Notamacropus eugenii: one gene and its partner. The protein of the gene in region 2 purifies or fractionates together with the protein of the main gene of each other region. This does not show direct contact. Links are inferred from orthologs where the notes say so. Each region holds a gene or a part of one and is shown on either strand. Other genes may lie near its edges.

What was found.
Region 1: the proteins of CDK5RAP2 (region 2) and PCNT purify together in Homo sapiens (co-immunoprecipitation; 4 studies listed by BioGRID and IntAct, with this or other methods). This does not show direct contact. The link is inferred for Notamacropus eugenii from reciprocal best matches to the Homo sapiens genes CDK5RAP2 and PCNT.

Annotation. Positions count from the first base shown.
Region 1 is NC_092873.1:68,465,890-68,474,309, reverse strand, and holds the start of PCNT (pericentrin), read left to right. Parts: upstream 1-5,083; 5' UTR 5,084-5,305; coding exon 5,306-5,362; intron 5,363-6,998; coding exon 6,999-7,205; intron 7,206-8,420. UniProt on the Homo sapiens protein: Integral component of the filamentous matrix of the centrosome involved in the initial establishment of organized microtubule arrays in both mitosis and meiosis. Plays a role, together with DISC1, in the microtubule network formation.
Region 2 is NC_092872.1:441,127,567-441,135,390, reverse strand, and holds the start of CDK5RAP2 (CDK5 regulatory subunit-associated protein 2), read left to right. Parts: upstream 1-4,378; 5' UTR 4,379-4,553; coding exon 4,554-4,609; intron 4,610-7,824. UniProt on the Homo sapiens protein: Potential regulator of CDK5 activity via its interaction with CDK5R1. Negative regulator of centriole disengagement (licensing) which maintains centriole engagement and cohesion. Involved in regulation of mitotic spindle orientation.

The DNA of each region.
Region 1 (8,420 bases), on a different chromosome or scaffold from region 2:
TTTTTAAATACATAAAACACACTGGATCTCAAAAGAAACCAATTATATTGAAATTCAGTGATCTGCAAATTTTTAAAAACAAGCTCAAAGTCCCCAGATGAAGACCCCTTGCTCCAGGACCTGACACCCAAGGCAGTACTAAGCCCCTCTAGTATTGTCCCAGAAACAGGCTTGGGAGAAAACAGCAAGGCTGCTTCTATAGGTCTGGGGGAAATTCCCTGAACCCCCTTATCCATAGCCACAAGTTTCATCCAGGTTGCTTTTGGGTGTGGCCCAATTTCACAGATGATCTTACTGATCACATCAGGACCATGGGGGATAAACCCCACCCTGGGTGTACAGATTCCTGACTGAGCCAGCAGTGATTCCAACGGCACGTTTCCTGGGGCATGTCCTTCACAGGTCAGGAGTAAGAGAAATGTCACTTTGCTGTGCTGTTTGTCCTTCCTTGTTGAAGCAGACCATGACATCAAGATGATGGCATCACTTGCAGTTGACCTTGTTTTGAGTGAGAGGGCTGTGCAGGATCACCAGCCTTACTTTCTTCTCCTGAGCCATTGGGGTCCAGTGGCCTGATATTCATCAGGATAACTGGAGATGACCCCGAAACTTCACACGCTCATATGGAAATGTGCTTTTCTATACTGACATGCTTTCCTGCCTTCTGAAGCTGGCCTCTGCTGCTCTGCCCGGCTTCAGGTGAGGAGCCATACCCAGAGGATAGTGTTAACCTGGAAGGCATTCCAACCCCACCCAGGCACAGCTCCTCCAGGAAGGCAGGACTCTTGGAATCCTGAACAAAAAAAGAACTCGGGGGAGGCCCAGGCCCATGACTGAGGGCACTGCCTGGAGAGGGGTGAGCTTGGGAGCCTTTGTTTCTCTCCTGTATCTCCAGTGCTTTGCCTGACACACACACAGAAGATACTTAACAAATGAGATCATGGAAAATGCTGAATAAGTGTAAAGGCTGATTATGCTTACTAGTCATTACCTATATAGCATGGATTCACTTTTCATAATTTATAATATTCATATAGGCAGCAGGGTGGTCCAGTGTGTACAGAGCCTGACCTGGAGACAGGAAGATCCCAGTTCAAATCCAGTCTCTGATGTACTAGCTGGGTGACCCTGGGAAAGTCACCTAACTCTGTTTCCCTCATTTTCCTCATCTGTATGATGAGCTAGGGAAGAAAATGGCAAACACTACGGTGTCTCTGCTAAGAAAACCCCAAATGGGATCACAGAGAGCCGTTCATGGACCAAAACAACTGGACAACAAGAAACAGAGAGTTTGATCAGTAGAACAGCATAAATGTACAATATGCTGAAGCAAATGAGGCAGCTGCCTAGTATCTGAGAAACCCAAAGATCCTGGCTACTTGGCTAGCAACTCACGATTCAATAAAAAACTATTAGGAAAACTGGAAAGAAGCCTGGTAGAAACGAGGTCTAGATCAGAGGTGGTCCCAGACCAGATGAAAATTTAACTGGGAAATACTTAACAAAATAAATAAAGATACCTGGCATGGGTGATGTCTTTTGATTCATGTATAAATTGGATTTAAGTGAGGTAGAGCTGCACAAAGTCATAGGCCTTACTCTGTCCTCCAGTCAACACAGTCCATTGGCAGGATGACTGGTGATGGCTCTGGATGCAGTGGATGACTTTAGTGTCTTTGTTTTCTGACCAGCCTCCCAACCTTCCAACCAAGCCATTGGAAGAAATTGTTCTCATTCGCCCATCCCATCAGGGGAAGTCTTCACATGCTTGGGGCAGAGCCCCCCAAGCTCACCGATGGGTTTGAGGCTGGTTGGTTAACCTCAGCCTGGTTTGGCCCATATGCCAAAATGATTTACTGGGGTGTGGATGCTGTGCATGCTACAGTTTCTTGGAGCCACAGGTGAGAGTTAGATGGATCACGTAGACACTGAAGGTGGAAGAAGCCCTCACACCAGAGGTCCTAGTCTTCCCTGAACACACCATTACATTTGAAAACTGCCAATATGCACGCTGCAGGGATTCTTCTATTCAGATTAATGGCCCCCACTTCTATCTGAGTTTGCCAGCCCTGGTCTAGACCAACACCTCCCACTATACCCCATGACAAGTTCCAAACAGGTGAGTGACAGCTATAGAAGAGGCACCATGAACAAATTAAAGAAGCAAGGAAGCACTTACCTGCTAGATCGATTGATAGGGGAAGAGTTCAGGACCGAATCCTCTCCAGAGGATCACAGAAGAGAAAATGGACAATTTTGATTACATAAGAAGAAAAAGCTTTTGCAGAAACAAAACCAATTCAGCTAAAGTGAGAAGAGAAGCAGGTAAGTGGGAAAGAGATCTTCTGAACCAGGTTTGCAGCAAGTTCCTCTGATAAAGGTCTCATTTCTAAGATATACAGTGAACTGTTTCAAATTTCTAATAAGACTCATTTCCCCAGTACATAGTCAAAGCAAAGACAGTTTTCAGAGGAAGAAATTGAAACTATCAATAGCAACATGAAAAGTCCTTGAAATGACTAATAATTAGATCAATGCAAATGAAAACAGCTCCTACTCTGACATTTACTCTGTAGGGTTCTCTGCGGAATGAGTGAGTTCAACTTTGTCAACCCAAACGATGGCCACTGGAGAGCACAAGTTAGGGCCTTCCAGGCGGAGTCTAGAACCCTATGGGCACCAGAGACCATATGGACCAAGCTCCTCCTTTTACAGATGAGGAAACTTAAGGCCCCTGTGACTTTCTCATAAGACAGCCCCAATACTTTTCCATATGGCATCTCCTCAGGATAATTAATCCCTGATGCAGCTTATAGAGAGTTCCTTAGCGTGAAAGACATTGAGTTAAGTTTCCACAGTAAGTTATTGTTAATTGATGAAGTCATTGAGAATAAGTTAGATAAGAAGGCCAGCAGACTGCAGGTAAACTCAATCAACCAAAAGACAGACGGTGGCCTTCAGAAAATTACAAAGTTTTTGATAAAGGCACCAAATCTACAGCTAGCTGGAACTAGCCAAGAAAAATGACCTACAGTTACCTGGAGGCCTCATGCATATAAGCAGACACACCCCAAATAAAATTATACCTCCATTTTCTGATCATGGGTCCTATGATAAAGCATGTTTGGGAGGGGGAATCACACTAAGGAAGGTTATGTATTGGGCATGTAGAGAAGATGGTGACCTAATGGAGAATGGACCAATCCATCTTCTGGTGGAAGGATCTGTCTTGGAGTAACAGTATATAGCTCATCTCCCTTCTGTATTCAGTGCTCCCTCCTCTTGAAAAGAGGGTGGGGGCCCGCTTTGGCCAAAGTGTTCAATTCCTCTGAACTCTGCTGTAATATTTCCTTGATACCTTTTTAGTGTCACAAATGTTTCTAACATTAGCTTATAAGCTACTTAAGAGCAGGGACTTTCTTCTGCCTTCTTTGTATCCCCAGTGCCTGGCACATAAAAAGCATTTTTTCCTCAGAAGCCTGTGATGCCTATGGTTTGTTGATTACTGCTATCTTCATTTTACCAAGGGGGAAACCAGGCTCAGAGAGGGAGAGTGACTTTCCTGTGATCACACAGGTTTGCAAGTTAATTAGCATTTTCTGCATGTTAGGTATTGTGCCAAATTCTGAAAGCGGAAACGCAGCCCCTGACCTTTAGGAGCTCAGAAGGTGGGTTTTTAGCTGAGATTTAAGGAAGGTGAGGGGCAGGGAAGCCAGGCAAGTAAGGTCAAGTATTATAGGTATAAAAGAGCCAATGTCAAGATATGGAGGTGAGAGATAGAGAGAAACAGAGTCAATGGATCGTGGAGGATGGAAAGCACTAAGGTATAAGGAGACTGAAAAGGTGATGGTGGGGGTGTGGGGTCTAACACCTTGGCAGGGCTTTCAAAGCCCACACGATGTTTTGCATTGGCTTCAGGAGTGAACCACGGAGGTATCCTGACCAGTGGCAGCAGGTGGGGATGCACTGAGTCAGGGAGGCGGGTAAGAAGGTGGTGAGGCAGGGCCAGGCAGTCACCAGGGTTAGGCAGTGGGGACAAGCAGACTTAGCCTGGGAAGGGAGGAAGACACATAGGACATGTTGGCTACCAGTGGAGTGTACGGGGACTGAGGGGCTGGAGGGTCCTGCCCTGGAGAACCCAGGGCAGAGGGGAGATCCCTTTGAAAGCCTACAGGATGTCCAGGGATGCGGCCCCAGGTGGCAGGAAAGAGAGTGGGGCTGGACACACAGACCTGGGGATCACTGGCATGGAGAAGAGAACCGACCCCACAGGAGGGGAGAGAGCAGAGCAGGAAGTGCCCTCTATCAGGTGCATGCATGGAGGGCACGGGGAGGCATGAACTTACAGTGGAAAAAAACAACCTTCAGTTATTTAAAAACATTATTCTGAGAAAGGGTCCATTGGCTTCATTGGACTGCGGACCTCACCCACAGCCTTGTCAGTGGTTGAAGATCCAGACAAGGGGCCTGAGAGGAGGAGGATGGTGTCCTGGAGGGGGATGGACAGTGTCCTGGGGAGTTTGGACAGTATCCCCGGTTAATGAGAGATCTGAGAAGGGGCTGCCCCAGAAGTGGTCGTGGGAGGGGGGAAGCACGCCCCCTCCAGGGCACGTGTGGACATTCCACACCTGCGGCCCCTCCTGGCTGACCTGGCCTCAGCTTGGCCCCCCGGGGCCGAGGGGAAAGGGGCGGGGTGGATTGGTACCTTGGCCCCGCCCCCAAGCCGTCTCACTCCGCCCAGTCCCGGAGTTCCCGGGCTTCGGGCCCTGGCACAGATCCCAGCAGAGCCCCGAGGTCAGCCCGCCGCCTCAGTCTTTTTCCCGCCCGCGCCTCTGATTGGACAACGCGTTCCAGAGGCGCTAGGCGGGCCCTTTGAAATTGACCAAACAGAGGGCTCAGCTCGGTTGACGTCATAGCGCAGTAACCAATTCTTTCGTAAGGTAGGCGGAGCCTGGGCTGAGCGGAAAAAGGGAGGATACAGAGGCTAGCGGCCTGTCACTCAGAGCTGTACCAGGGCGGTTGGCTGGGAGGGGTCGGGTTTCCAGAAGAGCGCCCCGCCCCGAGCCCATGATTGGCAGGGCAGACGCGGGACGCCGTTCGCTTGTTGGCCAGTGCAGGCGTCCATCTGTGGGAGGACGCCGATGGGCGTGGGCGGGTTGGAGAGCGCTCGGAGGGTGCCCGGACCCGCCCCCTCGCTCCCGGTCAGTTAGGGGGCGGGGCGGCCGTGTCAATACAGCGGCTGCAGAGGCGGCGGCGGCGGAGGGTCGCGTCCGCCCCTGGGCCACGCGCGTATCCTCGCCGGGCCATGGAGTACGACGAGCAAGAGGAGCGGCGGCGCAAGGTGGAGGCCGGCCGGGCTAAGGTAAGGCCGACCCTGGCCGCCGCGTGGGATCTTCCCCTCCCCACAGAGCGCGAAGCTCGGGAGCCTGGGGAGGGGCGGGAAACCTGCGGTCCTGGGGGAGTGGGAAGGGGCCGCCTAGCACCGAGCCCGCTAGCTTGGCGGTCCCCGATCCCCCATCCCCGCCGGGGCCGCGCCTCTCTCGCGGGCTCGCCCGAAATCTTCCGCCTCCTGGCCGCCGCCATCTTGAATCCACCGCTCTTTCCTCGGCCCCGCCCCCTGCCTCCTGGCCAGTCATCGCGGGGTGGAGGCGGGGCCAGGCCCTGGAGGCCGGGGGGGTGGGGTGGAGCCTGACCACCGAGTCTCCCGGTCCTCCGCCTGCTAGAAGGTCCCGGAAGTGTAGGATACTGGCCGGAAGCGGGCTCACGCATTTCCGGCCTCTCTGGGGGCCCACCCTCTGGGCTCCGGGCGTGGCTTGGGGCGGAGTTGAGGAGGGGGCGTGTGCCTCCACCTCGGAGTGACGCTAGGGGTTTAGTGTGCTGGCTTCTCTGTGCACAGATGGGGAAACTGAGGCCCGCCCACCTGGACAGCTTGGGGCGACCTCCCTCGATGTACAGATGGAGAAACTGAGGCTGCCCCAGGGGAGGCCCACCTGCGGAGCCTGGTTTCCCCAAAGCCGGGCCTGAGCGCCGCGGTCACCCCGAAACAGTGGCCCAATTTGGAGGCGGCCCGCGAGGGGTCAGTGCGAAGGAGCGAGCCCCCTTCCCCCCAGAGGCCCCTGGGACCTCAGTACTACCAAGGCCCAGGCCCCCAAGAGAGCAGGGCCTCCCTCCAGGCCTGTGCTCAGTGCCCGAGCAGGGCCGGCTTCCCTGGCTGTAGGAGGGAGGTCATGGCCCAGGGTGGGTGACCAGTGCGGCCTCCGAGCCCAGCTTGGGGCTGATGATGGCGGGTCTTGCACAGTTGAAATATTGGTGCAGATTCTGGCTCGCCACAAGCAGGCTAGTGGAAAAGGCTGATCTCAGCTCAGGGAGCTAAGGAGAGAGGGTTCTGATGGGTGACATGGTTTGGAGGTCCCTGGTGCTTTGTGCACCGGGATACTTCAGAAAAGTAGAGCATCTGATTCTTTCAAGGAGGAGAGGCAATTGACCCAGCTTAATGAATTTTTTGCTATTTCTGTAGATGTGGCTCAGAATCAGTGGCTCCAAGTTTGACTCCTGGTTTTCTGCTTTGGGGGCAGGGGGAGCAGGCGAATGAAAGGGCCCGACTCGCCTCTCAGTTCATTTCCATGCCTTGGCGAAGTTGATGACCACTTGATAACTTCCTGCCAGTGACCATAGCTAGCAGGCTGCTTGTCAGCTGTTACTTAATTCCCCTGACCTGTTTGTAGGGCCCCAATAACTTGGGGACTTGGATGTCATTTTCATTTCCATTAGAACCCTGCAGACGGCACCCTGCTGTTTTGGCTGGGGATGCCTTTGGTCAGGGCTGAGGCCTAAGTTGGCCACCTGGATCCTTGATAGCTAGGGAGTCCCCGTGGATTTTTATGCACAGTCCCATTAAGCCATTCCATGTTCTCTTCCACAGGGGTGTTCACTTTGTGGTCCTGTTACGGTTTTCTCACTTATCTCTGTCTCTACTATTTCTTAACCTTCTTGTGTAGCTTGCTCAGTTCCGACAAAGAAAAACAAAAGGCGACAGTTCGAGTTCGAAGAAAAAGGCGTCGAAGAGGAAGAGCACGGCTGTCCATGCGGCTGTCACGGAGAAGGAGGAGGAGTGCACGGTAACACCCCCAGACCTGGAGCAGAGTGTGGACAGCAGGGGGGACGGTGACTGTGCTGAGGGGAGAGCCAGCGCCCTGGAGGCCAAGGTGAAGTGGCTGGAGGAGGGTGGGCTGGGGCTCTTGGTTTGCGTTATGTTGTTGTGATGGTTCCTCTCCTTTTAACGCACTAACCTCCGTGTCTGGTCTGTTTTTGGCTGCCATAAGTGGGAGGATGGGTTTCTTGTTTCCACAAGGTGAGTGAGCGGTGTTCTTTGCCCTGATGTTTCATACCTTGGTGCCATGGTCATTTTGAGAAACTCTCGTAGGCCTCATCCTCAATTGTTTTAATAAATATTGAGAGAATTAACTATGCCAGTTATGGTAGAGTTTCTGCTTAATTCAAATTGAGAACTCTCTTGAAACTTTCCATGTCCCCCAAATGCCTCCCCTCTTCCATTTCCCTCCCATCTTACTGCCCTTGAAGTGAGTGGGAATCCAAGGCATCGCATGGAGTTACAGATGTAGATCTAACTTCAGTGGCCCGACATCTTCCTAGGGCATCCCAGCGCAGGCTCTGCAGGAGGAGGAGGAAATTCGTCCAAGGTGTTAAGCAGAAGAGAGAAAAGGGAATGAGCATCAACCAGTTGTGTGGGACGTGGTGGGGTAATTGCTGTGAGGAATTCCTGGGTTAAGGGCTTAGCCTCAGTTTGTGGATTCCTAATTGCCCTGGGTTTGAGGTCAGCAAGGACACACTTTGTGTGGTGGTATCTCTGTATGGCATGGAGTCTGAGTGGGCAGCATGTGGGAGGTGGGAGGTCCTCTCAAAACCCATAAAGAGAAGTCTGAAGAATTTGGCTGTTTAAAAACAGTAGGGGTGGTACATGGAACTGTGAATGTTGAAGATGCCAAAGAGAACCAAGAGAACATTTATGTGCAGAACTGTTGATGTCGGCATTCTGAAATGAAAATGGCTGCTTGTCACTGCTCTCTTGTCATCCAGTATATTGAGAGCATCTAGTTTCCAGAATTTCCCCTATTTCTAACTCTCCTTTCTTTCCTCTTACTTGTAGTGCAGATGTTTGATAAGTATTTGTAGAATAATTTTATCTCTGGAGAGGTCCTTTGGAGCCAGCATCCTTGACCACCTGTCTCTGATATATGAAAATTTCCCATTATTCTCCTTCTTCAGGAAATTTGGGTATCAGATTTGCGTAGGCAGTGGGAAAGCATGGGTCTGTGAATGGCACTAACTACCATCACATCCCAATTGGCAAGGAGAATGTGCCCTGGCCCTCCGCTGGGTGGTATGGGTCAGGAGCACCC
Region 2 (7,824 bases):
TAATCAGGCCAAGTTTAGTGTGGAAAGTTAAATGAATAGACAGAAGGTTTGCATTGACTCTGAAACTGAATACTCATGTAAGTCTAAGAAAGTTCTGTGCTTAAGCATGTGTGGGTTTTAGTCAACGTGACTACTGAGTAATATACAGAAGTAATTGTATTTTCAGTATTCATATTTATAAATTTTAGCTCTAATTGTGTTCTGAACTATTAAAGTTTCACATAATTGAATAAGGATGAATTAGGATGTACGGCTTTGCTTAAGCAGAACTTAAAGTGCCAGCTGTTTATTCTTTTGTGACTAACATTTCTTTCTAAGTCTTAATCTATACTGTGGAAAGACTAGCTTTCTGTTCAGTTAAGGGTTTGGCTAGATAACCTTTGAAAATCCTTTGAACTCAGGAATTCTGTGATTTCTGTGGAATATTTTACATGGAGTATTATCCATTTTAGAAAAAAAACACCAAGCAGAGCTATAATTCTTCTCTCCTCAGCCTCTCAATGAGGCCCTAGATCAACCCCCTTGACGATCAATGAACAATATGCTCTCCTAGGGCTAGCTTCTCCCATCCATCTTCCTTCACCTGTTGTCTCATCCTTTTCTCTCTTTGGAGGGAAGGTATTGGGTTTCATCAGATCAGCCTTGGAGGAATAGGTCAGACTCTTTAACTTTCCCTCACACAAATGAATTTAACTTATCAGGATTAAGGCATCCCATCATCAGCCTTACAGAACCATCTCAGATTTTCAGTGGGGGAATGAAGAGGAAGTAGTTATAGTGATAGCATTTAACCACCACATCCATCTTGAAACACCAACCAAAAAAATCTAACCCAAGCATTAGAGGGTCATCTATACCAGGCTTTCTCTAAAGAACTTGGGGTTAGTAGGGTTTCTAGTAGAAGTCTTACTACTACATAACTTTTTGCAGCAGTGTAGTATTTATTTAATAGCTACCAATTATATAGCATAATAGCTAACATATACATCTATATAGATATAGATATGGTCTTTTAAGATTTTCAACCTTTAATACTTTATCTGATCCTTACAACAATCTGCAAGATACAATTCATAGAGTACTAGACTCGGAGTCAGGAAGGCCTGGGTTCAAATTCTGCTCAGAAATATACTAGCTGTGTAACCCAGGGCAAGTCACTTAGCTTTCCTGGGACTCAGTTTCCTCATCTGAAAATGAGACGGTTGAATTCAATGACCTCTAAGGTCCCTTCCAGCCCTACACCTATGATCTAATGATCCTCTGTATCACCAGAGGCCCTCAACAAATACCATAGGTTTGATGTTTTTTTTTTTTTTATTGTTTTTTACAGCATACCTGGGAAGTAGGCATCTCATCTTTTGTTGAGGTAGATAAGTCTTAAATTACAACCTGGTTATTTCTGTGATATTCTCAAGCACATAGCCATTCAATGAAATGTTTATTTATTGAAGAGAAAATAATAATGTTATATAAAGTTCATTAATTTTGGATTCCATTCATTCATATTATATGACCCCAGATATTACCTTTTCACCATTCACAAAGAAAAAATGTGTTAATCAAATTAATGAAGAATGACTTTAGGCAAGACACTTCTCCTCTCTGTATCTCAATCTCTTCAACTCTAAAACCAGGATAACAATTACTTACCTGATGAGTCTGTTGTCAGAAAATGTTTTGGAAAACTATATGTAGACAAGCTATTTTTACTTAGTGTGCTGAAAGGCATATTCTACTGGAGTATTGTAGGAGTGGACCTTGTATTATACAACATCTGTCTTCCTAAAAAGTTGTGTAAGTTGAATTTCTGTAAGTAGAATATCCCATTTCAAATGCAGTAAGGATAGAACTATATACTGAGCGGTAGCATGAAGTAGTGAACACAGCAATGAATCTAGAAACAGGTGACGCCTGGCTTCAAATCTCTCTTGTTCAGGTGCATTTGACTCTTTGAGATCTCATGCACCATATCCTTCACTTTCTCTTGAAGTCTGTCCACGTTAATTCATTGTTTCCAAGATACCATCTATCCATTACATCCTTTGCTGTTTCCTTTTCCTTTTGCCTTCAATCTTTCCCAACATCAGGGTCTTTTCCAGTGACTCCCATCTTCTCATTGTATGGCCAAAGTAATTAAGTTTCAGCTTCAGTATTTGACCTTCGAGTGAACAGCCTGAATTAATTTCTTTGACTATTAACTGATTTGACCTCCTTGCTATCCAAGTGACTCTCAAAAGTGTTCTCCAGTACCACAAGTGGAAAGCATCTATCTGCAGCACTCAGCTTTCCTTACATATAGTTCACTTCATAGCCACACATTGCTATTGGAAAAACTAGAGCTTTGACTATACAGACCTTTGTTGGTAATGTAATATCTCTGCTTTTTAGTATGCTGTCCAGATTCGCCATAGCTTTGCTTCCAAAGAGCAAGTGTCTTTTAATTTCATAGATGCAGTTTCTGTCTGCAGAGATCGTTGAGCTTAAGAATATGTGAAATGTGACACCACTTCCATTTCTTCTCCCTCTATATTTGCCAGGAACTGATGAGACCAATTGCCAAGATCTTAATTTTTTTTTAATATTGAGTTTCAAGCCAGCTTTTCTACTCTCCTCTTTCACCTTCATCAAGAGGCATCTTAATTCCTCTTCACTTTTTGCCATCAGAGTGGTTGCATCTGCATATCTGAGATTGTTGATATTTCTTCCAGTATCTTTAATTCCAGTTTCTGATTTATCTGACTCCCTGTCTTAAACCAAGCAGTTGTTCCATGTTTAATTCTAACTGTTGCTTCTTAGCTCCCTTAGAGGTTCCTCAAGAGACAAAACAGATGATCTGGTAATCTCTTTGAGGTCTTGCCTCAACTTGTGTTGTGATCTACTCAGTCAAGGTTTTTGATATAGTCAATGAAGCAGAAGGAGATGTTTTTCTGGAACTCCCTTGCTTTTCTCCATAATCCAACCAATTTTGGCAATTTAGTTTCTAGTTCCTCTGTCTCTTTGAAAACAAGTTTGCTCTTCTGGTAATTCTCAGTTCACATATTGTTGAAGCTTAGCTTGCTGAATCTTAAGCATAACCTTGCTGGTATGTGAAACGAGTGTAATTGTTTGGTTATCTGAAAATTCCTTGGCATTGCCCTTCTTTAGGATTGGGAAATAAATTGATCTAGCTTAGCTAGATTTCTATCATCTCGGCCTTATTGTTAAAAATACTTCCTAAGGCCCACTTGACTTCATTCTCTAGGATGTCTGGCTTTAGATCTGTAATCATACCACTGTGGCTATTGGTGATGGTAAGATCTTTCTTGCATAGTTCTTTTATGTATTCTTGTCACCTTTTCTTCATCTTTTCTGTTTCTGTTAAATCCTTATCGTTTTTATCTTTTACCATGCCCGTTTTTGCACGGCACGTTCCCTCAAAAGCTCTAATTTTCTTGGAGATCATTTGTTTTTCTCATTCTGTTGATTTCTTCACATTCTCATTTAAGAAAATCTTATCTCTCCTTACTATTCTCTGGAATTCTGTCTTCAGCTGGGCATACATTCCCCTTTTTCCTTTACCTTCTGCGTTCCTAATCTCTAGTCAGTTATTTTCCTGACCATGGAAAGGAAAGATTGTGCAGCAATGGAAAGAAGATAGAATTTGGAGTCAGGAGAACTTGTGTTCAAGTTCAGGTTTTGTTATTTATTAAATGCATGACTTCCCTTCAGGGGAGCCTAGGCACCCTTGTATGTAAAAAAGGAAAATTTTAGACCAGACCATTTCTAAGTTTTTTCTTCTCCAGTCTAAATAATAAAAACTACTCCCATACAATCAATGATTATCATATTTACTCATTATCTAAGCAAGTTTGAGTATTTCAAGGAAATGATTTTTTTTTGTAAAATAAGTAGTCTTGGCTCCTTGTCCACCTTCATTTGTTTTATTGTCTGGATTCCGTACATCAAGTTTTCTTAAAGCGAGGCTGTCCCCCGATCTAACTTAAGGTCAGTGCCAGATTTTTTGCATATGAGGTCATTTGGAATAAGTTACACTCATTTCCAGAAGCTAAGACTTTTCAACCTAGTGTAGCTCAGGACAAATTTTGCGCCCAGAAATCTAAGTTGGTCAGAGCGCGGGCTCCTTTAGTTCTTTTGAAACGAGCTCGACGCAGAAGCCCGACTGCCCTTAAGTGACATGGCAGCCCCACAGTGTCCGCGGCGGAATGTGCCCTCAGCTATGATGGCGGCTGCCCTACCCTTGCCTGGACCGCGGCCCTTTGCCCTCAGTTAATATGGCGCCCTCTGGGATTTCCTCGGGACAGCCCTCATCCTGGCCCCGCCTCTTTGGCTTCAGGGGAAGCGCGGAAGCCCCGCCTCATTTCCGGAGAAAGCCGTCAAAAGAAAAAAAAGACTGAAAAAAGGCCCAGGAAGATGGCGGTGCTGGCGGGGCGGGGGCGGTGGCTTGGGGTTTGAATTCTAGCGGCGCCAGAGGAGTCTGGACGATCGGCTCCGCGGGTGGAGCGGGGGAAGGCCCCGCCTGGCCCGGGGAGCCGCAGCCAGCCGCTGCCGTCGCCATGGACTCGGTGCCGGGGGAGGACGCCACCCTGCCAGTGGGGCTCAACGGCAGCAGGTGGGCCTCGGCGGGCGGGTAGAGGGCGGCCGCCGCACGGGGGGCGCAGGCTCGGCGGCCCCGCGGGGTCCGCGCCAAGGGGGGTGGGGCTTAGTTCGTGAGAAGTAGTTTGGGACCAGCTTTTTGGGGGGTCCCTGGGGATGGTAGATAGGATTCGGGGTGCTGAATAGTTTGAATTGGGGGTGATGAAAAGGGATGGAGGTCAGTGTGAGGGTAATTTGTGGGGTGCTTTAGGGCCAGGTGAGGTTGGGAGGGGCTGAGATACTTCAGAGAAGGGGATGTTTGCGTGTGTAGGTGTAGTTTAAGGAGAGGGATAATTTGGGGGTGTAGAGGTAGCTTTGGGTGAAGGGGTGATTTGGGGATGGGGTAGTTTAGGGTAAAGGAATGAAGTGGAAGTGTAGGGGTGATATAGAGCGAAGGGGTGCTTGGGGTGTAGCAGTAGTGTAGGGCGAAAAAGATGATTTAGGGGTGTAAACAGTTCAGGGGGACATAGAGGTAGTTTGGGGTGAGGAGCTAATTAGGGGAATTTATGGTGGAGTGATGAATCAGGTTTCGGGTAGTTTAGGGGTGTGTGTGTGTGTGTGTGTGTGTGTGACTTTCAGGTGGGAGTGATTTGAGTATGGGGGTACTTCAAGACAAGAAATGATTTGTGCGTGTAATTCTGGGGTGAGGGGATGATTTTGAGGGGCAGTGTGCTTCATAGGGAGGGCTAGTTAGGGGTTTGGAGACAAAGAGTTAAAGAGTTCCTTGAAGATTCTCGGAGTCATCTGAGAAAAGACACAAGGAGGCCAGGGTCTCTGGCTTGCAAGTGGTGGGTGTAAGATGTAAGAAGACTGGACAGCTCGGAAGAGGCCAGGTTATGGGGGCCTTTGAAGAGCCAAACAGGATTTTATATTTGATTCTGGAGGCAATAGGAAGACTGGAGATTATTGGGGAGGGGACAATAGGCAATTTAGGAAAGTCACTTGGACAGATGAGTGGTGTATTTGTGTGGGGGAGAGACTTGAGGCATGGAGACCAAGGGCAGGCTATTGCAATAGCCCAGGCATGAGGTGGTAGGGATGTAGTTTGGGGATATGGGGAGTTGAGGTCAAAGACTTGAGTGATTGGGGGTTGCAGGGTTAGAGTTTAGGGTGGAGGGAATTTGAGGGTATGGAAGAATCATTTTAGTATGTGGGGGTGCAGTGGGACAAAGTGACTTGGAATTATAGAATAGTTTGTGTATGCAGTATACTTTGGTGAAGTCACTTCATGTGTAGGGATGATTTGAATGGAGAGTAGTTTATGTGAAGGTATGTTGAGAGATTCAGATAGGTGTAATAGTGGGATGTAGATAGGGGTACTGGAAGTAGTTTAAGGTACACTGGAAGGCAAGATATAGGAGTTGATGTGATTTAGGTTGCAGGAAATAGTTTTGGGTTCATTGTTATTGATAATCAAGGTGAGAGGTGGTGAGTACCAGAACTGAAGTGATAGTGAGTGGAGATAGGGGTCTGAGAATGTGAGAGTTGTTTGTGATTGTAGAATGCCATAATTTGGCAACTGAATGGATGTCAGGTGAGGGGGAATGAGGGGTTGAGTGAGGATAACACAGGGGTTACAAATCTGGGAGATTAGAAGGATGATAGTGTCTGACTGAAATAGGGAAATTTGGAAAAAGAGGGGATTGGGGAGGAAAGATGATGCATTCCGTTTTGGACATGTTGTTTGAGGTATCTAATAGCTGATGTGGGACTGATGCCAGGGAGACTGGGGCTTGTTATATAGATCTGGGAGTAATTTAGAGAGGGATGATAGTTAAATTGTGGGAGATAAATTGTAAAGGGAGAAAAGTGATTCTGCCTTAGGGAATACCTACAATTGGGGGGAAGCCTAAGATAGATGATAATTCACTAAAGGAGACTGAGGAGTGGTCAGACAAATAGAAGAACCAGGAGAAAGACATAGAAAGACTGAAAAGACCATCAGATTTGGCAGTTGAAAGATCATTGGTAATTTAGGGCAGCTTGGTGGTGCACTGGATAGAGTGTTCTGCCTGAAATTAGGAAGAGTCATCTTCTTGAGCTCAAGACACACTAACTGTGTGACCCTGGCCAAGTCACTTAACCCTGTTTACCTCAGTTTACTCATCTGTAAAATGAGCTGGAGAAGGGATTGGCAAACCACTCTTGTATCTTTGCCAAGAAAACCAAAATAGGGTTTGGAGAAGTTAGACTTGAATGAAAAATGACCACAAACTTTGGAGGGGACAGTTTCAGTTGAGTGATGAGGTTAGAAGCCAGAATACAAAGGCTGAAGTGTAAGAGGAGAAGAATTTGGCTGAGAAGTGGAGGAGAAAAAGGACAGTAGCTTGAGGGGAGATTGGTAGGATCTAATAAAAGGTTTTTTTTAAGTATAGGGGAGAATTGGACATGTTTGTAGGCAGTAGAGAAGAAACTAATAGAGAAAGGCTAAGAAGGGAATTGACTAAAGGTTCACTGAGCTGGAGGAGACAAAGATGGGATGAGATCTAGGAAGCACGTAGGGGGCTGCTCTTGACAAAGAGTGAGGCCACCTATATGTGGGGAGGGGAAAGTGAGGTTGGCTGTGACAAAAAAAAAAATCAAGCAGAAAAATCTGATAACAGTGACTGAGTTTGAATATGTATATATATCCAATATTCTGTCTTAGTGACTGCCAACTCCTGCCATACTGAAGCAGGTATGTTTCATTATCTGTGCTTTAGGGCCTTCACTAATTTTTTCCAGAAATTTGAAAAAATGTATTATTTAATTAGTTTATTTTCTTTTTAAATTTTTAGTTTCAGATTTTCTCTCTCCCTCTCATCCCTCCCCCACACACTATGAAGGCAAACAATATGATATCAATTATATATGTGAAATTATACAAAACATATTTCCCTATTAGCCATATCATAAAAAAATGCCAAAAAAATTAAAACAAGAAAATTTTATTCCAGTTTGCACTCAGAATTCATCACTTCTCTCTCTGGAGGTGGCTAGCATTTTTTCAACTTGAGTGCTTTGAAATTATCTTGGATCACAGTGTCTTTCACAGTGTTATATCATCATTATAACACTGCAGTTACTATATACAGGATCTCCCAGTTCTTCTCTCTTCATTTTGCTTCAGTTCATCTAGGTCTTGCCATGTTTTTCTGAAACCCCCCCCCCCCATTTCTTATAGTATGCCATCACAATCATAAACCACAACTT